2 linked regions of the Astyanax mexicanus genome follow. The protein of the gene in region 1 interacts with the protein of each later gene in a pairwise test. Links are inferred from orthologs where the notes say so. Each region holds a gene or a part of one and is shown on either strand. Other genes may lie near its edges.

Region 1 (6,953 bases):
TGATTGCAATAGTATTTCTGAAAGATTATAACAGATCACTAGAATAAACACGTCCAAGGGCCAAGAAAAATTAAGCTTAATGCCCAGCAGTAACAATTTCAAAACAATAATCTTAGCGCTGTACACAATTTTTGAATAGGTAGCATAGCAGAATAGTTTTACTTCTTTAACCCTTTAAAAGCCTCTAAATCCTGTACAATAAATCACTTTTATATTATGACTGGGCAGTATATTGTAAATATCAAAATACTTGCAACTATTTTCTGAAAGATAAATGAAGATTAAGGGAGGTTACCATCTGTGTATGATTATATTCCTAAAAAGAACATACATTTGTGGTTGCTTGGTTCCTGGAGACATGACACATGACACTTGTGCAAATTATTTCATGCTAATAATGCAATCAAAGGGAGAAATATTGATGACTTTATTTCACTTCAATAATGCTAAAAACATAGTCCAGTGCAGTGTGCTAAGTCAGTGAAATATCACAAGGGAGTGCAGTAATTTTATGCACATAAATTTAATATGTAAATATTTGCTTGTTACATATACAACATTTACATATGTTTTTTATGTTTTATGTTGTAAAATATCGCCATTTCTCTTATACATCTAGATATGAGTTTTTTAGTCATATCTCCCAAGCCCTACTTCTTAGGCCCTGATAGAAAAAGAGCTTTAAATGGATAGTCTTTGCTTTAGGATTTAAAACATGCTCATCAACCTTTAAAGTACTTAATGAGTTATATGAGGGATTTTTTTCATACATATCACACATCCCTATTTCATAGGCTCTAAAATAGAAGCCTGTGGCTCTGCACATAAGCTGGCAAAGATCTATACAGTAATAGTCTTTGCTTTAGGGTTAACAACTTGATCAGCAACTTTTAATTTAAGGGACTTATAAAGGTAATATGATTTTTTAGTCATATCATATAGCTATATTTTATAGGCCTTAAAATAGACGCAGCATGTTGATAAATTAAAGAGCTATACAGTAATAGTCTTTGCTTTAGGGTTAAAAACTTGATCTGCGACTTATAATTTAAGGGACTTAATAAGTAATATGAGTTTTTTAGTCATATCACATAGCTTTATTTTATAGGCCTTAAAATAGACCCAGCATGTTGATAAATTAAAGGGCTATACAGTAATAGTCTTTGGTTTTGGGTTAACAACGTGATCCTTAACTTTTAGGGTACTTAATAAGTTATATGAGTTTTTTGTCCTCTTACCCAGCTATATTTATAGGCCTTAAAATAGACACGTGTGGAACTCCATGAAAGTTAATCAATTAAAGAGATATACAGTAATAGTCTTTGCTTTAGGGTTAACAACTTGATCATCAATTTTTAAGGGACTTAAAATAAGGGTTTTAAAGAAACAACATGTTTTCAATCAGGTAGTCACGACAGTGCACCCCCTTTCCCAGTCCCTCAGTTCCACGGGGCAGTAATGGTCGCCCTGAACGGCAGCTGCAGTGTAATTAGTGGCTTGATTCACAGTAAGGAGCTTACATACTAAGGGTTGGCAAAAAAGAAAGCAGATTACAATCCGAGAGCCTCGCCAGCTCCAGCAACATTTTACACCAGAAGACACGGGAACCTTCAAGGTTGTCAGACCTCGGGCACCTGCGGGTCACCCAGTCGTGCTGGGGAGTATCCATAAACAGTCCGAGAGAGGCTTTAAGCGGTTTGGTCTCCCTGAAAACTAAGCAGAGCGTTCAAATTGCTTTGAATTAGCTTTGTACTCCTGGCTTTGGGTCTAGAGATTGTCTGCTAGTCACATGCTCGCCTCGGTTGCCTAGCAACGGTAAAGCTTAGGCAAAAAGTTGCCGAGGGCCGCGCTCCAATAAGCGTGCTTGCGGTCTAGGTAGCACACTTCTGGCGTGCGCGGTAGTGCTCGAAGCGGGGCGCTCCGTTACTTTCCACAGCGATTCATACAGTCGCTGAGCGCTGTTGAGCGTTGTGTGTCCGACAGCCACTGCGGTGTCTAGTGTAGAAAGCTATGTCACCACACAGTCGCTAAACCCACACTACCTAGTGCGCAAAACGACACGTGCGGCTGATTGGACAGCAGCCCGGGAGAACTTCGGGTCCGTCTGAGAGAGAGGCAGGCAGGCAGGCTTTTGTGCACCAGCAGCAGGTTAACGAACAATTCTTATGTATAATGTCAAAAGACTATAGAATGGATTAGTTTAACGCCTTAAAACATCGAGAAATAGATTTTTACACATCTGTCTGTTGAGTACGTAAGCTTAAGAAACCTGTATTTTGAGAAATAGTAAGAAAAAAGTGACAAATAGTAAGGGGTAAGTTACCTCCAACAACTGTTGCCAACAGCAATTTATTGAATAACGTTACTTAAGCAAACATTGATGCTTAGTTCTTAAAATAGTTTTTCCATTATCAAACTTTTGTATCAGTGGCTAGCTAAACTATCTAACTGTCTAACGGTGTCTCGTGCTGGACAACCTTATTAGTTAGCTAGCTAGTGACGAGTGTATTTAATTAACTAGCTAACAGTCCAGTATCTACACAGACTGATAAAGCACTCAGCTTATTATTTTTAGTTAGATCTTTTAGCTAGCTAACTAGCAGTTAACTGGGCTACGCCATAAGAGGTCATCTTCCACTTAATCTAATGCAATTAAGACATAATTAAGTTTCCTTAGATAAGAGCATCCTTACCATGAACATCTATTGTTATCTCAGGCTCCAGCACAACATTAAAACACTGTCTCTCGGTGATTTAGGGTATAAGACTTGTAGATATAAATGACATGGAGAGAGTTAGCTAAATGAAATGAAATAAACTCACCTTGGCAGTTGCAGCGCAGAGTGCAAAAAGTTAGCAGAAGCACGAGCGTGCCGAGCAGTGCTGGCTGCATGTTGGTGCGGTGTGCAGCCCCTGCAGTAGCGGCCAGATGGAGCTGCTGGGACTGAGATGCTCTCACCGCTCGCCTCACCCTCTCTGTGTCCGGCCTCATGGAAAAGGGCGTTTACTAAAAGCTTAGGCACACACTCACACTCCCCCCACCTCCGGCTCCTAGGATCAAATCCTGAGCTGGCACCCACAGATCACTGCCTAATGACTGCTCTCTCTCTCTCTCTTTCTTTCTCTCTCTCTCTCTCTCTCTCTCTCTCTCTCTCTCTCTCTCTCTCTTTCGTTCACCATACCTACACATAGATTTATTAATTTACATTTAATATTTGTATTTAAAATGCATACATTTAAATACGTTTAACAAATAATATAAAAAATGCAAATAAATAAGCAATATTATGATATTTCATATTGTATCTAGTCAAGTTCTATTAATTTGTTAACATACAGTATCATTTTCTCTTTATGAGGTATAGTCACCTGGAATGGCTTTCAGTTAACAGCTGTGCTGAACTTTTTGAGAGTTAATTACTTGAATTTCTTGTCCTCTCTTGCCCTGTTAATGTGAGCATCATTTGTGAAGTTGTGAAGAGGTAGAGTTGGTATACAGTGAATAGCCCTATTTGAGCAATTTTCTTTTCATATTATGCCAAGACCTATTCAAAGTAATAAAATTACTTTAAGAAATGAAGATCATTCAATCTGAACAATTTCACGACAATAAATTTATCAGAAACCGCAAGTTAACAGCACCCCAGGTAAAAGCCTACCTAAATGCTTCACAGAGTACTTTGGTTTGTTTAGCATTTTAAGTTCACTACATGAACCCTTATTTTTTACGTCATAGTCTGGATGACTTCAGTAATGATTTACAATGTAAATAATATATAGAATTTTTCATACTGTACAAATTTTTCTGATTTGAGGTAGTGGTTAAACCTTGTGTGGTGTTCATATTTTTGTTACTCGTTTACTTTGTTACTTGTATTTAATTCAGCAAAATTAAGCAATTTTACATTAAAATGCTTTACACATGCTTGCTTCACCTAAATTGCAAGCAATATAAACAGCTTACAACAGCTTTTTTCAAATGAGTTAAGGATTTCACAATTACACAATATTGTTTGTTTTACAGTATATTTTTTTATTGCTTATTTAAATGTGTGTGTTCTGTTTTATAATTTCTAATAGCAACTGTATAAGACTTAAAGTATAACCATTTTTTTGTGCAAACAGACAAGGACTTCCCATCTGAATATCCTGCAGGTTAGTGCAGCAGTTCTTTAGCTTTCATGGGACAAGTTTACAAGAACCTAGAATACAAGTCAGAAAGACACAAACCACAGGAAATGCAGTTAAACCTGACAATGTGGGACCATCTACATTTACAAGGCCACAAATGATACAGCATTACAAATAGCAATCTAATATAAACTCATCAAGCACTTTATTAGGAACACCTACGCCTCCTCAATCAGGTTGTGGTGTAGTGTAATATAAAATTAGTATGTAACTATACTGGTAAGCTAAATACTGTGATAAACAAACTAGCTAAATTAACTACAAACCAGCGAACTGAGAAAAAATACAGCTTCTGTCAGAATGTTAGTTACAGTTAACTGGCTAAGACTATTCCTAACCATACCTGTCAAGTTTTAGATTTAAAAATAAGGGATATTTTCCTCTGTCCGCTTAAAGCCGTCCCACCAGCCCAACGAAGGTTCAGTATCCCTTACATTTTAAGACACATGTAAACCACCTACACACTACAATTAGATTATCAGAATCTGAAATGTTGTGGAAATTCCTACATATGTCATTCTTTTAATACAGCCAAATTAAAAACCCTTTTCTAGATATTAAAAAAAAGTTAAGATTTCATGTATTTTTTGGCATAAATGCACTCTTTTATATGATATATTTTTATTTATTTAATGGATTTAAAATTGAACAAAGGGTGCGCAAATTCTGCAAAATGACTGTTGGTGACCTAAAAATAGTATCATGAGCTTTTACTAAAAGGACATGGACCAGATATATTCCATCAGTAAAAATTAGTCCTAAGGGGCCTACACAATTAATAACTTTTAATGAATACTTCTTTCTTTTGATCACTCCACCCCTGATCAGTTCAGATAATTTCGGTCCTCTCACAAGCTGTATTTTTTTTTTTTTTAAAGGTTTAATCTGTGTGTTTTATTTCGGAGACGAGTATTTTTAAGCAGCTATCAGAAAAATCTCATCACAGTTTCCATGATTAGCCTATACCGTTACCTTTCTTTAAGAAAAATCGCTGAATATCCAGATATGTTTTAACATCAGCTGCTCCGACTAGCTGCTTGAACTCACAGCGACGGGGGGCTTCCCCACACTGACCCTCCTTTGCAAGCTGAATGGCTGTTTCTCCTGAAAGGCGGGACTTTCTCCTTGAACCGGCTCCACGATTGGTTAAGAGACACAGAGCGGTCAGTGCCCTGTCTCCTCAATAATATATATTTTATTATTTTAATAAAATACGTGAAATTTACGGGAAAATACTAATACAGGAGGACGGCGGGAAAGAGGAGTAAAATACGGTAGTTTCCCGGCCAAAACGGGAGACTTGACAGGTATGTTCCTAACCCACCCGGTGGCTCGTGCGTTTATTTTCCCGCTCATAGAGCAGCTGAATCAGAGCTGGTTTATTAAGAGCTTACCCACTTCCTACATCCACCGTTATATCAGAAAATTACTGCAACCGCTAGAGGGAGTCCTCGGTTTATTTTAACTTTAAGGTTTCTAAGCTGAAGGATGGTTAACTTTTTCTCAGCCCTGTTACAAAAACTCATGTGACATTGAAAAGCATGTTTAAAAGCAAGTCCACTAATTCCTTTGATTTTCTCTCAAGAAAGTGTTTATTTGAAAGAAGGGTTGTTTTCCATGTTCAAATAATTGATATTTATGACAAAAAAAATCACTATGCATGCAAGGCCATTTTTATCTTATCAAGAAGACCCACACCTGAAATTGATTTTCAAATTTATTATCATTTGATTTTATTAAACAAATAGATAAATGACGAACCAAACAGAATTGGAAAAAGTGTATTACACTAACTTACATTCATATTAATACATCAATAAACTAGGGGACCATACTCATTCCTGTTATTACTCATTACTCTTGTTACTGGCACTCACTCCTGTTACTAGCACTCATTCCTGTTACTTTTCATGTTGTTAGCAACAGGACTTAGTAAAAGTAACAGGAATTAGTTTTTAGCATACAATTAGCAGAAAACATGAAAAATTGCTCAATGGTCGATATGCTAATAGCATGAGGACTGTGAGCATAGTGATTTCCCCAAAAATTGTATAATTTATAATGAATAATTTACTCATTCTGATCTCTTTTTTCTTGTCTTATACTTTCTGGAACGATCTCCAAAATTGTCTCTCTATTAAGAATGTTGACTTGAAAAATAAAACTCCAAAGTTTTCTGTTTTTTAAAATGTGCCTTAGCTTACACTAGCTGTGTTCTTTTTATTTAACCTAAAGTATTACCTACCTTGATCTATATTTTGTCATGACACCATTTTTTTGTGTATTTTCAAATGTTTGTGCTGGATGTTTCTGGTCTTTATTATTTGTGCGATTTTACGGATTTTAAATGTACCATAATGGAATATACAATAACCACAATTAAAAAGAAAAAAACAACAACCAAACTTTAGCAATGGCGCCATCTAGTGTTCCTGGTCTGCATTTATTATGGGTATAAGGTTCTGATGCAGAGCTGCAGCCAGTGGAGAAAAGGCTGATTTCACATGATCAGCATTTGCAACGTCAACATTTACACACAGATCAGTATTTTTTATATATTTTATATATAATATATTTTAACAAATGATTTGATTAAACCACCATATTTTACGGCAAACCGTCGTAACAGTTATTTACAAGCCAGTACGGAAATCTGTGCGAATCTCTGTAACCCATAGCAACCGGAGAAACTTTCCAGCTCAGCACAGACTAGCACTGAGAGAGAGAGAGAGAGAGAGAGAGAGACTGGGAGCAACACAATG
Region 2 (7,676 bases), on another chromosome or scaffold:
CTTAATAATAAAATTAATGCAATTTCTTATAGTTATGTAGCGTGTCTAAAACACTTAAAACTGTGGTAAAGCAGCGTGCCGATTTAGACCAAGGCCTGGTTAATCTAATCAATTCTACATTACAGTAAGTCACGTGAGCTGCAGGTGGATCTGAGCTAATCCTAAAAGTGTCTAGAGTTCACAAAGACGTCAGCAACTAAAACGCTGTATCAGTGTGTTTACAAAAAAAAAACAACATGATCTGCCTACTGCTTACTGTATTTGTGCTTATCTGCATGTATTATAATGTTATGCAGAGCTTTATAAGCTTATCCCAGGACTGCACAGCATTTTGAATGGGAATTATTCATAAAACAAACAATATAGTCCATGACTGGACTTAATTATGGTACAGGAAACAATTATACATTTTACAACTTTGAGAATATTCACTTTCATATCTATCATAGTCATCATATTTGTATCTATCTGTGTAAGTATATAGTGAAAAGGCCCAGATAGCATCAATAGATGCTAATATCTCAGTGAATATATGTTGTTCCTTTCAGTTACCAAAATTTCTGACAACATACAACAAGCAACCAAAATCCAACATCTTCCAAATGTGGCATATTAACATTGAAAATCATTACCAATACGATTATCAAAATAGCCATTTAACGTACTCTAGATGTGGCATTCAAACATCATCAGATACAGATATTTTCAGGGTGTTAGGTAAGCTTACTTCGCACTAGACATGACATTCTAACATTATTAGAGGTTAAAATGTTGAAGTTTTTAAGCCTTATTGCCTTAAGTAACCACAACCCAACACAGAAGCATCTATTCAGCATTGGACATATATTGAAGTCCGATGTCTGATGTCCAGTGCCTGAAGGGAGCATCCTCCTCAAACAGGGGAATGAAACCTTTTAATCATCTCTTCTGGACTACGTGAGGCCTACCACGTTTAAGGCCTCTGACACACATGAAGACTGAGAGCCACAGGTCTAAACAGCTTTGAGAGCATGAAAATGGAGTGCACTTCACCTCCAGAACTCCAATAAGTATCTAATATTAACCCAAAATACAAAGACGTTTCTACTTCCCTGCTGGTCTTTAATGGTTAGGAAGCTTGTCATGCTGATCAACACATACTCTATGCATGGAAGTAAGGATACACCAATATTATACATATTCATATCTGCCAATACAGATGACGATTTATACATTTATAACTTGCAGAGAGACTAGACACCCAGGAATAACTTAAAATTGTAAAAACTAGCTTACAACAAATAATTTTTAAGTAGTGTGGTCAGTGTCGGCCAACTGAAGTAGCGCACGAAACATCGCTTGGTTCTTTTCTGACATACAATAAATAAGTCAGCAAGTATTGTTTTTTTTAAATATTGGCCATTCTAAAAAAAACAAACATCTCACACTATAATTCCAATATCATTGTAAATACCTATATGTAAGCTAGCTGATTAACCAGCTCTTGACCTGCAAAATGTATACTGCATTTGATTTTGATAATTGCTTGATCATGCTATTTGACCAGCCTGGTCAAGCTTGGACATATACATCTCTGGAAAATATAGGAGACCACTTAAAAAGGATGATTTTACCAAACTGAGAACTTCTGGAATATTATCAAGAGGAAGATGGATGATCACAAGCCACCAAACCAAGCTAAACTGCTTGCATTTTTGCACCAGGAGTGCCATAAAATTATCCAAAAGCAGTGTGTGAGACTGGTGGAGGAGAACCAGCCAAGATGCATGAAAACTGTGATTAAAAAACAGGGTTATTCCACCAAATATTGATTTTTGATACTTTATGAATATGAATTTGTTTTCTTTGCATTATTTGTGGTCTGAAAGCTCTGCATCTTTTTTTGTTATTGGAATTAGGAAGAAATGTTGTCTGCAGTTTATAGAATAAAACAACAAGGTTATGTTTACTCAGAGAAACCTAGAGAACCCTAGAGAAACTGAAGCTGTGTACTGATTATTTAGCATTGTCAGGTTTTGTCATGATTGTAGAGGAGCTAAAACCAACAAACTCAAAACAAAAACATACCCAATGCTAGTCAACCATCTTAACCAGCTTAAGACACAAGGCTGTATAGGATGATATAGGTATACATGAGTATGATGAGGATGTGTGTTTGCAGTTTGCATCACTGCCCTGCAGGGCGTGGGCCTCTCCTTACGGAAACTGACTGAGCCTGCGCCAAGGACTTATGTGATGTTCAACCAAAAATAGTGGGAAAATCAATCCTTTCATCCGCATCTTCCCATCCTGCTCCATTCCCCCATCTTAGACCCAGCCTAGAACCTTCACAAATGCTAGCTAGCAGAGTGAGGACAGCCGGGAGAAGCCAGCAAAATGCAACATGCAGCCTTGAGGCTAGAACAAACATGGGGTTTGAGGAATGCTCCAGTAGCAGCAGCGTTTAGAGGAGCAGAGCTGGGGCAGGGAGGGGGAGCTTTTGGGTGCTGATGCAGGGAGGGATGAGGGATGGAGGGAGCGGGGGGATGCTGCGTTTCTTACCTGCAGCCCGGAGGAGAGAGGGAGTGGAAGGTGGAGAGAGAAAACATCTCCGCTCTGTCCGCCATCTTCTTCCACAGAGGACTCTCTAAGCAGCGACTGCAGGGGCGGACTGAACGCAGCCCATCCACAGACGGTGGGGAGGTAGATCAACACCAGCAGCTCTTTCTCAATCTCTCTCTCTCTCGCTCTCTCTCTCTCTCTTTCTCTCACTGCAGATGCTAGAGCTTAGTGGCCTCAACCTCTCTGGATCACGCGCGCGCGCTCCCTGCCATCCAACCGGATCCCCCTCCCAAACGATGCCCAAATCACCCGAACAGCAGTGAGGATGCGCGCGAGGATCACCGCTGCGGTCCCTCAGATGCTGCCATCCACACGCGCGCGCGCAGAGCGGACTGTCGGACGCTGGGATGCTCGGCGGCTCGCGCAGGCTGAGCTGGTGCCAGCGGTGAGGAGGAGATGGGAGGGATGAGGAGGGTGTTTGGAGAGGGCGGGGCGGGCGTAACGTCGCTGTGCGCCGATTTGGGAAGCGTGTCTGCGCGTTTTCCCACCCGCATTCAGACAAGCCCCGCCCCTTCTCCGCTGCGATTGGCTAGCAGAGTTGACGGACTGTTTGTGAGTCACTAACTAACTACACGCAGCAATGGATTACTAGTGGATTACTAGTTATTATGCGTAGAATGAAACTGATTATTACTCAAATATAATATATAATTAATATATACTAAAAAAAAGCTTTATTTATCCTTCTATGGTATTAATTATTATTTTACTATTTTTATTTTGTTGTGGGGGATAATAATATACCAATGACAAAATCAATGTTTTATTTTTTTATGCAGTGGAATTGGGTCAAAGCAACACTGTTTTAATATATTTAGAAAAATTAAATTGTCTTACCAATTGCTTTGGTTCCTAAAAATAAATTGTCAAAACCACTTTTATCCCTGCTTTTAGTGGAAAGAGAAAAAAAAACTTTACATGGTTGATGTAATAATAAGGGGAACACCATCCCATTGAGAATTAAACATATAAAATGCTAAATTAACAAAACAAACAAAAGAAAAAAATACAAAACCAGAAAAACAACAACCAAAACAAAAAGAGCACAATAATAAAAGAGTAATTAAATGTTAAAATTCAAAGTGCAAGAAGGTAGTAAAAATGGAATGTCTGGATGGAAAGCCTGGAATGGCTTTCAGTTAAGAGTTGTGCTGAAATCGTGAAGAGATACTTACTTGAATTGCTTTCCCTCTAAATGTGTTTGAGGGCATCAGTCGTATTGTAAAGAGTTGGTATTCAGTGAATAGCTCTGTACCTTTAACCCTTCTGTCGTGTTCGGGTCAAATCTGACCGATTTACAACTTAAAACACTCATAAATATTGTGTTTTACATCTGATTGCCTCAAGGCGTTATGATATCCTCCACACTATGCACTTGAACACATAAAAGTGATGATCACCACTTTCATTGAATTTTGAGGGTTTTATTCAACCTTTTATTCAACACTCTGTGGTGTTCCCGGTCAAATGTGACCGGCATAGGAAATCAGTGGGTAACCAGAATATATTCTTTCATCAGACAGAAAATATCCTCATACATACCACCCCAACTCACTTACTCACTCACTCACACACTCACTCACTCAGTCATCTCATGTGGATGACATCAAGTTTAGCTTCCAACTATTTTATCAGAGTTCATTGAGGGAATTATACTGGAGATGACAAACAGGGAAGCATGTGTTTGGTGACACCTGAAGAGAAATCGACCTGGTAGACCTCCAAGCCTACATAGGTCTGTTGATTTTAGCAGGAGTATATCTCCCATACAATGAGGCCACAAAATGGAAAACAGGGAAATATGGAATAAAGATCTGGGCACCAAGTGATGCCAGGAGCAGCTATGTCTGGAATACCCATGTAAGCTCTGTGCCCTTAGAGACAACAAAACAGGCCTGAGGTGCTGCAAATATGATGCCTATGTTTGCAAGGCCCACTCTGACCTGAGTGTCACATGCCACTCATGTGCATGAGATCACATGCACACACACACACACACACACACACCTTCATGTTGAGTTTTGTCTTTGGTTTTCAATGTATTATTTATAACGTTCATTTTGTAATACATTTTCAGTGCCTATTTGTACTTTCACTGCAGTTATCTTATGTATAATTCTATAAATTCAGGTTAAACACTGCTTTGAGACATTGTTCACAGCTAAAAAAAATTTGTATAAAAATTTGGTGGTGAAAAATGGTTTATGGGCTAATTTAAGAGCAGTTAAAACTGACCGGTCAAATTTGACCGGGAACACTAAAGTAAGGGGTAGGAGGTGAACACGACAGGAGGGTTAAAAGCTTAAAGTCTTCATGTATTTATTTCTGTCCAGCACTAAAGTAGTTGAAATAAGGGTCTGGCAGGTTAACAGGTAGATCAGTTTTGTCATTGTTTTGAATTCAGGGATGGCTTTTTTAACCATTTAGATCACACTCAAAATTCAAACAGATGTACACCAACCAAATGTGTGTGTGTTTCTGTTTGTCCACCAGTTGGTGTAGTCTGGTTTTTAGGCTTCTCTGCTCCTATAACAGCCGATCCATGGACTAGAAGGCGGGCTTAGTCTGAATATGGGTGTGAGAAAAAAACATACCCCATTTGGAATTTACTGACAGATGGGTCTCTGTCCCCACCACGAATGCGTCAGATGCTGCTGCGTGTGGGCAGAGCGTGAAAAGCACTGCAGTTTCAGAGGAAGATCTCACCGCCAATCAGATCACTGGAGACATAATACGATTTGTCATCTGTAAGGCCACATCTCAAATAGCACCCTGCTCCCTACATAGCCTTGTGTACTACATGGTTAAGAAAATTATGGTGAGCACACTAATATTGTATAGTATCTACAATATGTTTGACAAAAATTGACAAACTGTACAGATGTGGTGGCATTTGTGTTTTGGCTGATATCACACAGGAAATTCACACAGATTCCAAACAGACAACATAATGTAGCTGTAGATGTACAGGGCCTGGGTCTACAGGCTTTTTGGCCTTCATATATTATCCCTTAAAGAAGACACACAATATTTATTCCCTTAACCCTGCAGTCTCAGTTAGGCAGCCATAAAGAAAGGAGCTGTTCACGACCAGTTTGGTGCTGAAATCTCATGGAGAGGAATGTTAGGGATGTAGAAAAGTGGAGCCCCCTGCTGTATGGACAAGTAATGACGTCATGAAATAGGAAATATGATGCAAGTGTGAGAGGGGGCAGGGGAACAAGGTGTTCCCTTAAATGTAGTGAAGGTCGTATGAGGCCATGGTATTTCCTGTGTGAGCAATTTTATGTTCAGATGTGCAGACTTGTCAGTATTTGTGTGTGTGTGTGTGTGTGTGTGTGTGTTTGAGTGTGTGTGTGTGTGTGTGAGCGTGAATTCAGATGTCAGAGATCCAAACTGTTTTAATAAATTAGAAAACTGAATGCTGATCTAAGGTATTTTTGCTATCTGTTACTGTTTTTATCAGTCATGGAAATTTGTCAATGTTAATATTGTGTGCACTAACCTGCCAAACCCACACTATTAAGATTAGTATACAGTATATAGCCAATATTATTAGTATGTTATATGCAATTGGGACACAGCCGGAATTTTTACTGCTGCCTAACTGTAATAGGATCTGATGTTTCCAATCTGCAGGTGTGTTAGTTAGCACAGTTAGGGCACAGTAGGGTCAAAAGCATGGGCCACCATTCTTATCCATGAAGGGCTGGTGTGGTTGCAGATTTTCATTCCAATAAATCAGAAGCACACTCGATTCTACTTGTTTAATCAGCTAGTTCCAGCCTATATACAATTGAATAATTATACTGAATAGAGTGCATGTCTGCTTGTTTGAAATGTAATAAATTGACTGACCTTACTTTTTTAAGGATTTTTTCCTTGACTTAGTTAAGTAGTTTTTCCATAATATGGATTAGAATAGTTCTCAAATAGATCTATTCGCTGTACACCAACTCTACCACTTCACAACTGATGCTTTCAAACACATTAAGAAGCAAGAAATTCAAGTAATTAACTCTTGACAAGTTCAGCACAGCTGTTAACTGAAAGCCATTCCAGGTGACTCTACCTTATAAAGCCAAGATGTGAAAAGCTACTGTGAAGAATCTAAAATATAAAACATATGTTCTGCCACTATGATAGGGAGATCGCTGGTTCGAAACCCAGTCATGCAGCTTGCCATCAGTTGCCGGAGCCCAGAGAGAGCACAATTGGACTTGCTCTCTCTAATTGGGAAGATGGCACTCTTTCCCCTCATCCCTCCTAGGGTAATATTGATCAGCACAAGATGTCTGTGAGCTGATGTATGGGAATCGAGTTGCTGCGCTTTTCTCCAAGTGCACTGTGATGCTACTCAGCAAGGAGGCATGTGCTAGTCTCACCCTCCTTGTGCTGTGGCATCACTAGTGATGGGGATATATAGCTAAGTAGCAGTTAAAAGGGTAGAACAATTGGCCTAGCTAAATTGGGAGAAAATGGGAAATAATCAGAAATAAAAATGATAAAATATATATTCTGTGTTGCTTACTAAATATTTTCGGTAACTAAATAATTCTATATGTTTTTCTTTAAAGTGTTAATGTCTTTAGTTTTATTCTACAATGCAGATCATTAAAAAAGAACGCTAAATTCCAGATGTGTCGTCCTTTTTTTATATTTATTTATATTTAAGTCCTGTGGAATTCCATGCCCAAATGATATAGATTCAAATATACAAAAAAGTAACAATTTTAATAATAATAATAATAATAATAATAACAATTATTATTATTATTATTATTATTATTATTTTTATTTATTTATTTATTTATTTATTTATTTATTTATTTATTTATTTATTTATTGTGCTTTTGCTTTTTTTTAACACAATTTCCCACAAATCACAAGCTGCAGCTTAAACAGGCCAATCTGCAGTCCTCGTCTTAGAAGGCGGAGCTGCGTCTCCAATCACATCCAATCAATCACCAGCATGCTCTGGCGAGTCAACGTTCGCGTGTTGTGATTGGCTGGGTTGCGCGTCAATCATTGGCACCAAAATCTGACGACATGATAGCGGCTGACGAGTGGACCGT

Evidence for each region. The genes of interacting proteins can lie anywhere in the genome.
Region 2: the proteins of lrp2a (region 1) and mapk8ip2 interact in a two-hybrid assay, tested with the Homo sapiens proteins (2 studies listed by BioGRID). The link is inferred for Astyanax mexicanus from reciprocal best matches to the Homo sapiens genes LRP2 and MAPK8IP2.

Annotation. Positions count from the first base shown.
Region 1 is NC_064418.1:37,581,653-37,588,605, reverse strand, and holds the start of lrp2a (low-density lipoprotein receptor-related protein 2a), read right to left. Parts: upstream 3,008-6,953; 5' UTR 2,993-3,007; coding exon 2,824-2,992; intron 2,149-2,823; exon of another isoform or gene 1,915-2,148; intron 1-1,914. UniProt on the Homo sapiens protein: Multiligand endocytic receptor. Acts together with CUBN to mediate endocytosis of high-density lipoproteins. Mediates receptor-mediated uptake of polybasic drugs such as aprotinin, aminoglycosides and polymyxin B.
Region 2 is NC_064416.1:15,328,494-15,336,169, forward strand, and holds the start of mapk8ip2 (C-Jun-amino-terminal kinase-interacting protein 2), read right to left. Parts: upstream 3,009-7,676; 5' UTR 2,607-3,008; coding exon 2,542-2,606; intron 1-2,541. UniProt on the Homo sapiens protein: The JNK-interacting protein (JIP) group of scaffold proteins selectively mediates JNK signaling by aggregating specific components of the MAPK cascade to form a functional JNK signaling module.